Coturnix japonica: one gene and its partners. The protein of the gene in region 1 interacts with the protein of each later gene in a pairwise test. Links are inferred from orthologs where the notes say so. Each region holds a gene or a part of one and is shown on either strand. Other genes may lie near its edges.

The links. The genes of interacting proteins can lie anywhere in the genome.
Region 2: the proteins of SHTN1 (region 1) and NME7 interact in binary tests that used the Homo sapiens proteins (3 or more experiments, as listed by UniProt). The two-hybrid records come from large-scale screens. The link is inferred for Coturnix japonica from reciprocal best matches to the Homo sapiens genes SHTN1 and NME7.
Region 3: the proteins of SHTN1 (region 1) and FABP3 interact in binary tests that used the Homo sapiens proteins (3 or more experiments, as listed by UniProt). The two-hybrid records come from large-scale screens. The link is inferred for Coturnix japonica from reciprocal best matches to the Homo sapiens genes SHTN1 and FABP3.

Annotation. Positions count from the first base shown.
Region 1 is NC_029521.1:25,856,731-25,860,704, forward strand, and holds the start of SHTN1 (shootin-1), read right to left. Parts: upstream 2,810-3,974; 5' UTR 2,667-2,809; coding exon 2,609-2,666; intron 1-2,608. UniProt on the Homo sapiens protein: Involved in the generation of internal asymmetric signals required for neuronal polarization and neurite outgrowth.
Region 2 is NC_029516.1:74,973,353-74,976,867, reverse strand, and holds part of NME7 (nucleoside diphosphate kinase 7), read right to left. Parts: intron 3,445-3,515; coding exon 3,337-3,444; intron 653-3,336; coding exon 486-652; intron 1-485. UniProt on the Homo sapiens protein: Possesses an intrinsic kinase activity. Displays 3'-5' exonuclease activity with a preference for single-stranded DNA. Does not seem to have nucleoside diphosphate kinase activity.
Region 3 is NC_029538.1:624,176-628,417, forward strand, and holds the start of FABP3 (fatty acid-binding protein, heart), read right to left. Parts: upstream 2,807-4,242; 5' UTR 2,722-2,806; coding exon 2,649-2,721; intron 2,087-2,648; coding exon 1,914-2,086; intron 123-1,913; coding exon 21-122; intron 1-20. UniProt on the Homo sapiens protein: FABPs are thought to play a role in the intracellular transport of long-chain fatty acids and their acyl-CoA esters.

The sequences.
Region 1 (3,974 bases):
TGAAGCACTTACACAATATATAACTCCCAATGTTGTGGTTGATGACTGCTGTCTTCAGCTGAACAAAGACGTGACACAGCTGAAGGTGCTTCTTTACGAGCAAAGTTTCAGCAGCATCAATAAAGTCAAAGACAAACATGGCAAACTTCCATGCTGGTTGCGATGCAGCTGTTAGGCAGGTAAAAAAAGTGGTGCTGAAAACACCACTTATAGGTAAAAAAAGGAGTTTTTAGGTAATGCTAATATTCACAGCATACCTGCTTTATCTAATCAAGCCATCTCAGAAAGCTACTTACAGAATGAAAATTAAAATAATACTTGTAAGGCTTAAATATCATTGATACAGAGATCGTGTTTCTCCACAACATTCACCTTAAACTTGGCAACAGAGCAAGAAGAAGAACAAGCAGTGTCAAATATCCAGGTCTAATCCACAGGACCTGGAAAATTCAGCATGGGTGAAAGATAAGCCTATCATGCTCACAGATAGTTTCAGTGTCCTTGTCGCTGCGCAGAGCTGTGCCAAACAGCCAAGTGAATTTGTCCAGACACCAGTCAGTGTCACAGCTGCCACTGAGAATCGCACAGCAGCCACCATACCTGCCTCAGGTGCAATCTGCTGACCTTGGGAAGGGAAGTAAAAGCAGCACCGGGACGTTACTGCAATCAGCCACGTACACAACTGCTGCCCTCTTCACCTACCCAGCCAGCACAGCTACCTGGCATCACACCCAGGATGTTTCTCAACACTGGAAAAACACACTGAGTGCAGGCTACCGAGAGAACGTGTTTGAAGTCCTTCAAATCAATGCATGTAATCCAGAAATCTGACAACAGACCATAACACCGCAGTAAGCTGAAGCCATATACCACTTTGAATGCAATAAACACAGGACTCCTGAACAGTACATACACCCAGAATCTCAAAGCCTTCAGGAACTGCAGGTCATTCCACCACCTGCATTTACTTTCAGTGTAATATTCTTATCTATATACCTAGAAGCAGCAAGGAGGAAAATTACTTGGTTTTTTTTCTTCCTCTTTCCAACCCTCTCTGGGCTCTTTACTAAGGACACTTCAGCCCCGCCAGTTAACACCATTGAACTGCAGCATGGTAGCATAACGTGCTGGTTTCCATCTAAAACAATGCAATCTCAAAAAGTAAATATTTTCAAATAGTTTTCCACAGGATAATTCTTCTCCCATAAAGATCAGCTTCCCAGCCAGCCATACAATTAGAAAAACATCTGTCAGTCCCACAACAACTTACTAATACTCCCACATTTGGGGAACATCTATCAAGAACAGCAGGATCTGCCTGTTAGTTTCTATTTCAACAGCTTAAGAGGATCTAGGGCACTCAAGTTACAGCGTCCCTCCTTTGAACTAACTCATGAAGTCCCATAAAGTTTCTTCAGACATTAAAGGACATTCAGTCTACCCGAGCAGAAGACTTTCAGACATCAGTATTGAAGTCAATGAGAAAACTCAAAGCAATTTCAAGATGTTGGGATTTCTGAAGAATAACTATTGCCATTTTAGCAGCCATCATTTTGGTACAGACAACTCTTCAGAAGCCAACAGCACTAGAAGGAAGCAACCAACTGGGAACAGCTTTTTAGCCTTATTTTTTGGTCCCGCGCTATTAAAACTCATAGTTATGTACTATGATACACTTCACAACAACTGTAATCCTTACAAGTCAGAATCCAGCTGGGACAACCAAAAAGAAAACATTCACGACTCAGATGAGTGATAACTAAGCCCAATGACTGCCACCTGCTTAACCAGGCAAGACAGAAACTTTTCTAGACCAGTCTGGTTTGGAAGCAGACTGACTAGTGAAAATACCAGCTACCTTTTGAGTATCCAACTTCTTTCCTTGCCCATTCTTCCCAACAACACAGTGTGTTCCAATATTTTAGAACCTGAGTGTTCATAAGGCCAAAGCACTGAATTTCCCTACAAAAGCACTGAGCAGTGACTCACACAGGGAACCCAACGAGCCCTCCATTCATTTACATTGGAACTACAAAGGCTCCATAGAAACTCGTGGCATATCAGGACTAGCCCTGGGTTCTATCACCAAGAAGTTCATGTGCTGATTAGGAGAGGAGCAGAGGACGTTTCATGGGCTGGTTTAACACCTCCTGACAGGTACCACAGACACAGAGTTTCTCTGCAGGAAGCCCATCACAGACACGTTTTCACTTCTCCATCCCTCAGCACTCCTGCCCAGTTCCACTTCCAAAGGGGAGAGGACGGACCGACACCGTGGAAGCCCAGACTGACACCCAGACTACACGCGAGGCAGCAGCACCCAGACACGTGCCAGCCCCACGCCATCACTCACTCGATGCCCACCCTGACAGCACACAAATCCGGCAGGTGCAGACAGGCCCGTATCCGAGGCTTTTTTCCCCCAAAAGGGGCCTGGAATCGAGCGTGGCCGCCCAGGCCGCACCGCCATCCCCACGCCGCAGGCCGCGCCCCGGCCCCGCACAGCCCCCGCTTCAACCCCTCCCTGCGGCCGCGCTCCGAGCTCCGCAGCAGCCGAGGGAAGGAAGCAGGGACAGCCGGTCCGCCCAGAGCCGCCGCCCGCCCCTACCTGTGTCCTTCACGCCGGCCAGCAGCTCCAGCTGCTTCTCCTCATCCGAGCTGTTCATCCTGCCCCGCTCTATCTCACCTCTCCCGGCCGCACCTGGCACGGTTCGGGCGGTTCTCGTAGCCCCGGGGCGCGTTGGGCGCGGCGAACGGCCCGGCCCGCTCCGCTCTGCACATGCCCAGACTCCCCCGGCACCACAGTGAGCATGTGCGGGGTGCGGCGGAGCCGAGCCCCGGGCTGTGAGCGGGCACCTCCGTGATGGGGGGCGGCCGTGAGGACCGTAATGACGGCACGGAGCGACCCCCGGGGCGGCGGGGAGGGAGCGGGATCCGGAGGGGTGCGAAGGAGGCAGGCGGTGTGCTGGGTGTGCTGGGTGTGCTGCTATGCGAGGGGTCTGTGAGCAGATGAAAACTGCCTTCTCGTCATGTTCGCCTTGTCCCGGCTGGTACAGGAGGGAAGAGCTCCTGGGCAGAGAAAGGGGACTTTAATGAGCGCTTGTACGGAGAGCAGCATTCCCAAAGATTCCTGAAGCAGCTGCGGGGTGATTCCAGCGTCCAACGCAGACTAAAAGTTGGGATAATATCAGGTTTTGGTGGAGGTCGTGCTCTGTTTGTCTGTGAAGAACACATTTGTTCTTGCCAGCAACCCCAGAGGGGGGAAGGAGAGGATCTGGCCATGAGCATAGAATCACAGAAGCATTTGACTGTCTGGTCTAACTCCTTGCAATGAATGGGGACACCTACAGCTCCATCAGGTGCTAAGAGCCCCATCCAGCCTGATGGGTGTCTCCAGGGATGGGGCATCCACCACCTTTCTGGGCAACTTGTGCCAGTGCTTCACTGGCCTTATTGTAATAAACTTCTTCCTTACATCCAGTCTCTTCTTCCTTATATCCAGTCTAAATCTCCCCTCTCTCAGTTTGAAACCATTTCCTGTTGTCCTATCACAGCAGACCAGAGCTCTCTCTCTGATTCTATCCCTGTGCTAAAGCAGTGACCCTACCAAGCTCCTCTGGATCCTGGCCCTGAATGCACACAGTCACTGCAGAGTTTGTTTCTACCCTATTTATTTATTTATTTATTTATTTTTTTGCTGAACTTTAGAAACTTTAAAAAGTGAAAAGTTTGAAATAAAATTGCTGTCTTTGTTGCTAACTAACCAAATGCTGTGAGTCTCGTGATTCATAATGGACAGTGCTAGGATAAATCTGAAGTTGAGCTCACTTTTAAAAACCTCCTGTCAGTCACACTGGAGCTGCTCACAGTAGCGGTCCATTGAACCGCAGCAGTCTTCAGATTCATTCTTTAAGCACTGGCAAAGGCAAAGCTTTTCCATCTCCTTCCTTGGCAAGTGCCCATAGCACACCATG
Region 2 (3,515 bases), on another chromosome or scaffold:
AATACAGGGTAGATGCATTTGATAAGGTACTAGCTTTCTGCACAGACTGCAGGGAGGGAGAAGACCATTTTGAAGGATTCTAGCCAGCACCCATTAAGGTTACAACACCAATACTGCACTGAGAGAATCCACAAATCACAAGAATACTATTTCTACTGGCCCTACAGGGAGTAGGAAAGCTGAGCTGGGGCCCATGTTTGCCTTCTCTACCTTTTCTCTTCAGAGAAATCTGGAGGATGCAACATGCGACACCACAGATAAACTGGCCTTGAAGATGTATCAGGTGGGAGGGATAATGGTAGGTTTGCCCACAAGCAGGGAACTGTTTCCCTCCAGCTAACAGTATGCCAGATGACTCCAAACCTCATGCAGACTTGTGACTAATTCCTCCTTTTCCCACGGTACAGGAATCTTACCTCATTTCCAGCAAAGAACAACTACCCCAGTCACAAAGGAAGACTTAAAAAAACAACAGGTTTTCTTACCTCTCTTTGCGGCCCCCTAGCTTGCGCGCTGTATATTGATCCCCATAGTCCACTAAGGAAAGATGACGGGAAAACACAGTAATTTTGTTGCCCACAAACAGATCATCAAGGTGTAAGCTCTCATACTTGGTGCGCTTCAGAAAGGTACGATGGTTCTTCACATCATACTGCAGACAAAAGAAGATTAGAACCTACTACAGCAAGAGATCTTAAGCTGTTGGCAAACTCCACGTAATTCTTACTTTCCCTTCAGAAATTTCCATAGCTCTGTGGGATTTAATCTGATCATTAAATTGATTTAATTCTTAACCCTGTGAACTTGCACGTGCACCAGGAATGCTTAGAGGATAAAACCACACATTTGTTCCAGTTAAATAGTCTCAGGGTGATGGCTGTCTTCACAGTTTTTATTACTTGCTTGTGCTAATTCCAACTATGATAGATGCTTCACATCCCTTGTGGATATCTCTACCCAGTCTCAATGAGAATCCCCCACCCCCTCCAGCAAGTCCATGTTGTTTCACAGGCCAATGGTTTGAAGCAGTAGTGATCATAATACACACTGTGGCAGGTCTCCTCTTCAGGGCACTGTTCCAGTGATATTATGCTTTATTTGACTGCTTAAAACTCTGAATTAAGGATGGATGGATGGCTGCAGCACTACGTTGAGAAGTTCTCAACTGCCTAGAGCTGCAAGCTCAAAAGCCTGTCAAGACGATTCAGCTATGTATGGACATTCTGAGCAAGAAGGAAGACATTAATGTGAGATTTTCTGGGTGGATTGCTAAAGCACAAAAGACAACCTCACAAACAGTTTCTTCCCTGCTACAAGTAAATATTACAGATCCCTTCAATTTCTTGGAGAAACAATCTTAGAAAAGTTTTGTCCTCTTCAGGCTAAACTTTTTTTTTTATTTGATACTTTCTAAGCAGGATTCCATAATAAAATCATCCTTAGCTCTCACCTACATGCTCCAGCTCAGTGCTCTTCAGTTTCAAGAAGAGTCCTATTAACTGAATCATAGTTATTAACTATGGAAAACTTGGATAGTTGGAGATGGCTCTGTCTAAGTACCCAGTCTGATCACAAATGGTTGCTTGCTGTCCCTGGACAAAAACCTGTGCTGCTTTCTAACGGATGCAAAGCAAGCAGGAAACTGGTTGCATTATTTCCACTGTATTTTTCCTTCACGGGAAGGAGCAAGAAAGAAATGGGAAGTTGAGAACTTCACATAACATCAATGTCCAACAGCTCTATTCCACTTTCAGCTGAAGCATGTACAAAGGAAAGTTATCACTGCAGAGGTGAGAGAAAGGTGATGCAACTGCTCTCTCATAAGCAGAGAGAAGCCGGCTCTCGTCCATTACCTTTCTTCTCTGACAATGTACTAGAGGTAAAGTGAGCAGCTGCCATCTCCTCGGGAAGATACAAAAGATCCAGAAGAATTTTGCAGTAATGAAGAAGAAAAAAAAATGCCAAACTCCAAATAAGTTTTCAAAACCATAAATAAATCCAGAAGATAATCTCAAATGTAATTTCTGTCTACAATTCACCTCCAAACTGATCTTGTAGAATTCCTTCTGCAGAGATTCTACATGCATTTTTGCTTTTTTAGCAGTTATATTGATCACACGCAGTCCATGCAAACTCATGACTGCATACACACACTACCTCAACCCTGAGAACACAACTGACTAAATATAAGAACCTACCAAGTTGCAGATGTTTGATGCATAAAGCTCTAAGACAGCCAAAAGCACCTTGAAAGCTCTTGGTTTTGAGACATCCAGGAGAAATGAACAACAATTTTGTCAGCCTACACATGGCTGTGTAGGAAGATTATTACGGCTTCTGACTGATTAGCTTAACTGTGTCTAAGAAAAAAAAATCCTCACGTTTTGACAACTGTGCACACATATCATACAAATAACTAACTTAAAAGGGACAACATCATGGTGGAGTTTGTTTAAAGAGACTATCAGTAAAAAGTGCAAAGTGCATCTCCTCACACAGATGGGTACCGTGGTTTCAGTAAGCAATAGTTTGGATAAGAAAAGTAAGAAAAGGTAGATTCTGATAGTTCTGTTGTTTCTGTGTTTGATGTGTAAGGCAAGAAAGTTTAAGAACTATACTGAAATTAATAGATGTGAATACACAAATTTAGGCTATTCTTAGACCTTCATATGCTCATTAAAATCTAGAAAAGACTAGTAAAAGAATAAATAATCATTAATTCATTCAAAAGGGGAGCACAAAGCATTGGCTATTTTGTTGGATTACCTGTACAGGATTATCTGTACTATATGCTTGTTTTATCTTCATTTTTTTTTTATTGTTAGAAGGCTTAGTTAAATGTACCATAAAATCAGAAAGGTCCATACAAGCACCAATAAGGGGAAAAATTTGTATTCCATTCTCAGAAACATCCTTTCATGCATTAAAACCAAATTAGTTTACCGTTTCCTTCACTTTGATAGAAGTTGTTTACAGTTAATGCTTCAGAGGCTTCTAGAATTCTAACTGAAGCCTACTCTTGTTAGGAATCACCTTCAATTTGTTCCTGCAGTAGGTTGATGGTGCTGAGTTCCAATACTTAAATCCAAGAAAAGATTAAATAAAAACAGATCTGTGAAAATGAAATGCTCCAAGCTTAAGATAAAACTCGTTAACATGGCAGCTCTTGCATGTGCTCCACTATGAACTAGCACATTTGTTTTTCTTCTAGTTTGAAAAACAGACTTATGTCTTAAACTACAACTTAATTACCTGGAAAAACAAATGGCAGTGGTCCATTTTATAAATAGCTTAATTGAGTAATATATTTAAAATTACAGACTTTTTTATTCTTACCATTTCAACTGAGCTATCTTTTGGATAATACAGAAGCTCGTAACGCCGAAAGAGTGAAGCATTCGGGTCATACCATTCAGCAGTGAAAGCAAATCTGTCATCTTGACTCTGCAAAAACAAAAGGGAAGGCTACTGAAGTAATCATACACTTAATAAACTGTACCATTTCCTTGCATTTA
Region 3 (4,242 bases), on another chromosome or scaffold:
AATCCTTTATATTTCCTTACCAGAATCAACTTCCCATCCTTCAGCTCCCGCACTAGCGATGTCTCCTTCCCATCCCACTTCTGCACGTGGACCAGCTTGCCTCCATCTAGCTTGACCAAGGACTGTGGAGAGAGAGCAGAACCACCGTTCCCCTCATGGCTGGAGCTTTGCTGCTCCATCCTTGCAGCTTTGGATGCTCCTTTTCATCCCATTGGGTCCGGAGACCAGCATTGGTTGCCTCCAGGATCACTGGGTGCCAGCATCCCACCTGGCTCTACTCACCCAGGACACCAGCTGTGTCACAATTGTAGCCCAAGTTGAGCCTGTTGGCATCAGGGCCCACTGTCACGGTGACCCTGCCCTCCCTGCCCCACAGCTGCATCCTGAGCTGAGCTGTTGAACAAGCCCCTGCTCATCCAGGCTGCTGTTTGCACAGCCGCTGCTGTTGACTCAGCCCTGAGAGCCTGGGCAGTGCCAAGGTTAGCGTGACAGCAGGCTGGGCTGTGCCAGCGTGGGAAGTGGCAATGGCTGCCCAGCTCTCTTTTGCTATCTTCCCACTGCTTGGCACCCAGTTCTTTGCCTCCCAGTGACATTTCTCAGCTCCAGCCCAGGGGACCACATGCCCCCAGCTGTCCCAGCCTCTGGTCCCTTGCAAACCTCCCTGTGCACCCAGTACTGCTGCTCTCCTGGAGCACAGACACCCAAGGGCTGGGCTTCCCATGGCTCAGGTCCCCAGCACTGTGCAGGTTATACTGCATCTCCCTGACATGGCTTGAGTCTATCCTGCCCATGGCTTTGGTGTCTCCATGGGTCAGGGCTCTGCATGGCTTAAGATTCTCCATTGTTTGGGTCTTCTCATAGTTTGAATCTCCCAATGGTTGGATGTCCCCATAGCTTAGGACTCCCTTCATGTCCTCAGGTCACCCCGTTGCTTGAGTCACCCCACAGTTGGATGTTTCCATGGCTTGGGTCTCACCTTGATGTGGGTCCCTGCAACCCACTTGGTTCCCTCATGGGTAGGGGCTCTGCATTGATCTCATGGCTTAGGTTACCCATGGTTGGATGCCCCCAAAGCTCAGCTCTCCCCACTACTTGTATGTCCCCATAGCTTGGGTACCCTCATGGTTCAGGTCTCCCAATGACTTGGTGTCCCTATAGCACAGATGTCCTAATGCTTTGTGTGTCCCCATGGCTTGGGTGCCCTGCAGCTCAGCTCCCTTCAGAGCTCAAGTTCTCCTCTCCCTGCACCCCATACATCCTGGGTCCCCCCCAGTTTGGTGGCTCCTCACCTTGGAGCACCCCACAGCCCAGCAGCTCCACATCTCCCAGCTTGACTGTGTGGGGGGCTGACAGGCCGGGCCCCCTTTTATTGTTTGCCCTCTGGCAGCCAGCCGAGGGGTGCCTGAAGGGCATGTCCCTGGCTGCTTCACACACTAGCAGCCAAAGAGCTTTTAGCATAGTTTCCACCACCCTGAGCAGAGCAGCCCTACGCTTGGGGCTGAGCTGTCACGAGACAAAGTGGGCAAGCTGGTTATAGTCAAAGCTGTGCATGGAAATAGCTTCCAGGGGCCAGACCTGTGCTCTATTGCTGCTCTGGTTCCTCTGCAAGAGGAATGGCACCAGATGGAGCAGAGGATGAAGACAGAAGTATGCTGCAATGTCTGCCTGGCACTACTGCCTTGCTCACACTCAACCCGTTTCAGCCCAACCTCACACCACACCCAGCCCTGTGCCTGCTTCCCCATGGGGCAGGAAGGAGTTTTGTGCTCTACAAGCCTCGTGGTGGCCCCCGAATCTCTTTTGCAATACAGCCACTTGGTTACAGCATCACCTTCTGCAAAACCCAGTTGCAAATGGAGGCAAGGGGTGCAAAGGGAAAAGGGTGGAGGGAAGGATTCCCCCAGCTCCCTCACCTTGACATGTCTGTCATCAGCCGTGGTCTCATCGAACTCCTCGTTCAGCTTGAAGCTGATCTCTGTGTTCTTGAAGGTGCTCTGGGTCTTCAGCGTCACCTTGTCACCATCCACCTCGATGATGGTGGTGGGTTTGGTCAGGCCGGCCATCTGCCTGGTGGCAAAGCCCACCCCTGGTGGGAGACAGGGGGTCAACACTGCATCCCCATGCATCACCCCAGAGACCCTCCTGGGTTATTTTTCGGGAGGGGGGACCCACTGCATCCCCATGGGGTTGTATTTTTTGGGGAATCCGGGCATCACTCAGGGGCTGATCCTGCACATTTATGGCTGGGCAAGAATGGAAAACACCTGTGGCCACCACCCTCCAGACCCCTTCGGGGCTGCGGTCTCATTCTGCCCAGGGATGGAGGATTCAGGACAGCAGATGGGGGCACGCATCCCCCTGGAATCCCTTCTATCAGCCCTTCCCCCACACACCGGGGTTGCAGGGGGAAGGGGGGGGATTCCACCCGATCCCCCCCACCCCCAACCCCGCCAGCAGCCCCTCCCCAGCACAGCACCGCGTTGCGTTTTCCTATGTTTATTCCTATATTTTATTCTTCCTATTTTGATTTTCCCCTTTTAAACCCATTCAGCAGCCGACGATCCCCACCCTCCCCATTAAAAAAAAAGAAAGAAAGAAAAAGGAGGAATAAAACCCGTGGATTTCCGCCCTCCCGATCCGCCACTCACCCAACGCCTTCATGTACTCATCGAAATTCGCCGTATCTACCAGCTTCCAGGTGCCCACGAACGCGTCCACCATGGCGAAGCCGCGTGTATCCCCGTGTCCTTCTGTCCCCGCAGCGCTGCACAACCCACAGCTGCCGCCCGGCCCCGCGGCTCCTTAAATACCGGCCCCATCACATGATGGGAAGAGACTCCAGAAATACCCCGGCGGGGACGGGCAGAGCTGCCAACCGCCGCCCCCCGGCCGCCCCCTCCACCCCCGTCCCCTGCCCGGGCGCTGTGCGCAGCTCCGTTGCGGTCGCGGACACGCGTGGGTGCGTGGAGGTGAGGATGTGAGGTGCCGGTGACCGTGTGCTCATAGCGAGGAGTGGATGGAGAGGGCGAAACTGAGGCACGGGAGCATCCGTGGGGACACGAGGGACAGTGTGTGTGTGTGTGTGTGTGCTGGGGGTGCTGAGGGCAAAGACGGCCACATCCCCGTCCCTCCCATCCTATCCCTCCCATCGTTGGTGATTTCATTTTAACACCTTTGGGATCCCCTTAAATCAGCCCCATCCCAACAGCTGCCCTGGGCTCCTGGCCCTGCTGGGTTCAGGCTTGAAGCCTCATGGGTCCTATGGGTGCTGTACCCCCCTTTCACCCCACGGGTGCGTGTTCCCATAGGGTTGGTGGTATCCAGGACATGATCCCCACCTCCTTCAGGCTCAGGTTGCAGCGTGCCAGGGGATTGTGGTGGCAGTGGAATCTGGTGTCCCCTGCCCCAGTGGGCACACAGCCCTGGCACAGGGATGAGCCTCCTCCCACCCCTCCCAACTCCGCCAGCTGTGCCACGTTGTGACAGCTCTGGGGGTCCCGTGGGCCAAAGTGTCCCCAACCTGGGGTCAGACACAGGGGGTGGCTGTCACTTCTGGGGGGCGTATTTATGGGAAGGGGTGAGGGTAGAGCATGTGGGAGTCAGCCCCAATTTCTTCTGCCCAATTTCAGTCCGTTGGATTTGGGGATTGGGTGGGAACCATTGAGTGTCCCCACACCCAGCACTGCAAAGCGGTGGCAGCAGGGTCAAAGTGACCATGTCTGGGTGTCACTCAGGGACACTTTGTCTCTCTTTCCATCTCCAAGGTGTCATTGCAGGCACCTAAAAATAGCCAGGGACTCAAGTTCAGCGTCCTCCCCGTGGCCTCAGAGGGGCTGCGAGTGGCAGAACTGGGCAGGACGGTCACCAGCCCCCATGGGGACAGAGCATGGAGCGCTGTGTCACACGGAAACACACACAGTTTATTATCCAACCATGGCCCTGGGAGTCACTCAGCTGCCTCCCAGAGTGCACAGTGCTCCTTGAATGCACCCTCCAGGTGCCACAGAGAGGGGACAGGCAATAGCCTGGAGGGGTTACCTGTCTCTGCTCCTCCCAGTGCCATCCTTGGGCATCAGAGGCCCAAATGTGCATGGCCATGGGGCTCCCAGCATCACCCTGGTGCAGCGGGGCCATGAGACATGGATGTGCACACACGTGAACACACACACAAACATATGTGCACAGGGACAGCCATCCAGGGAGAACCCATGCACAGGGACATCCACACACATAACACTCACA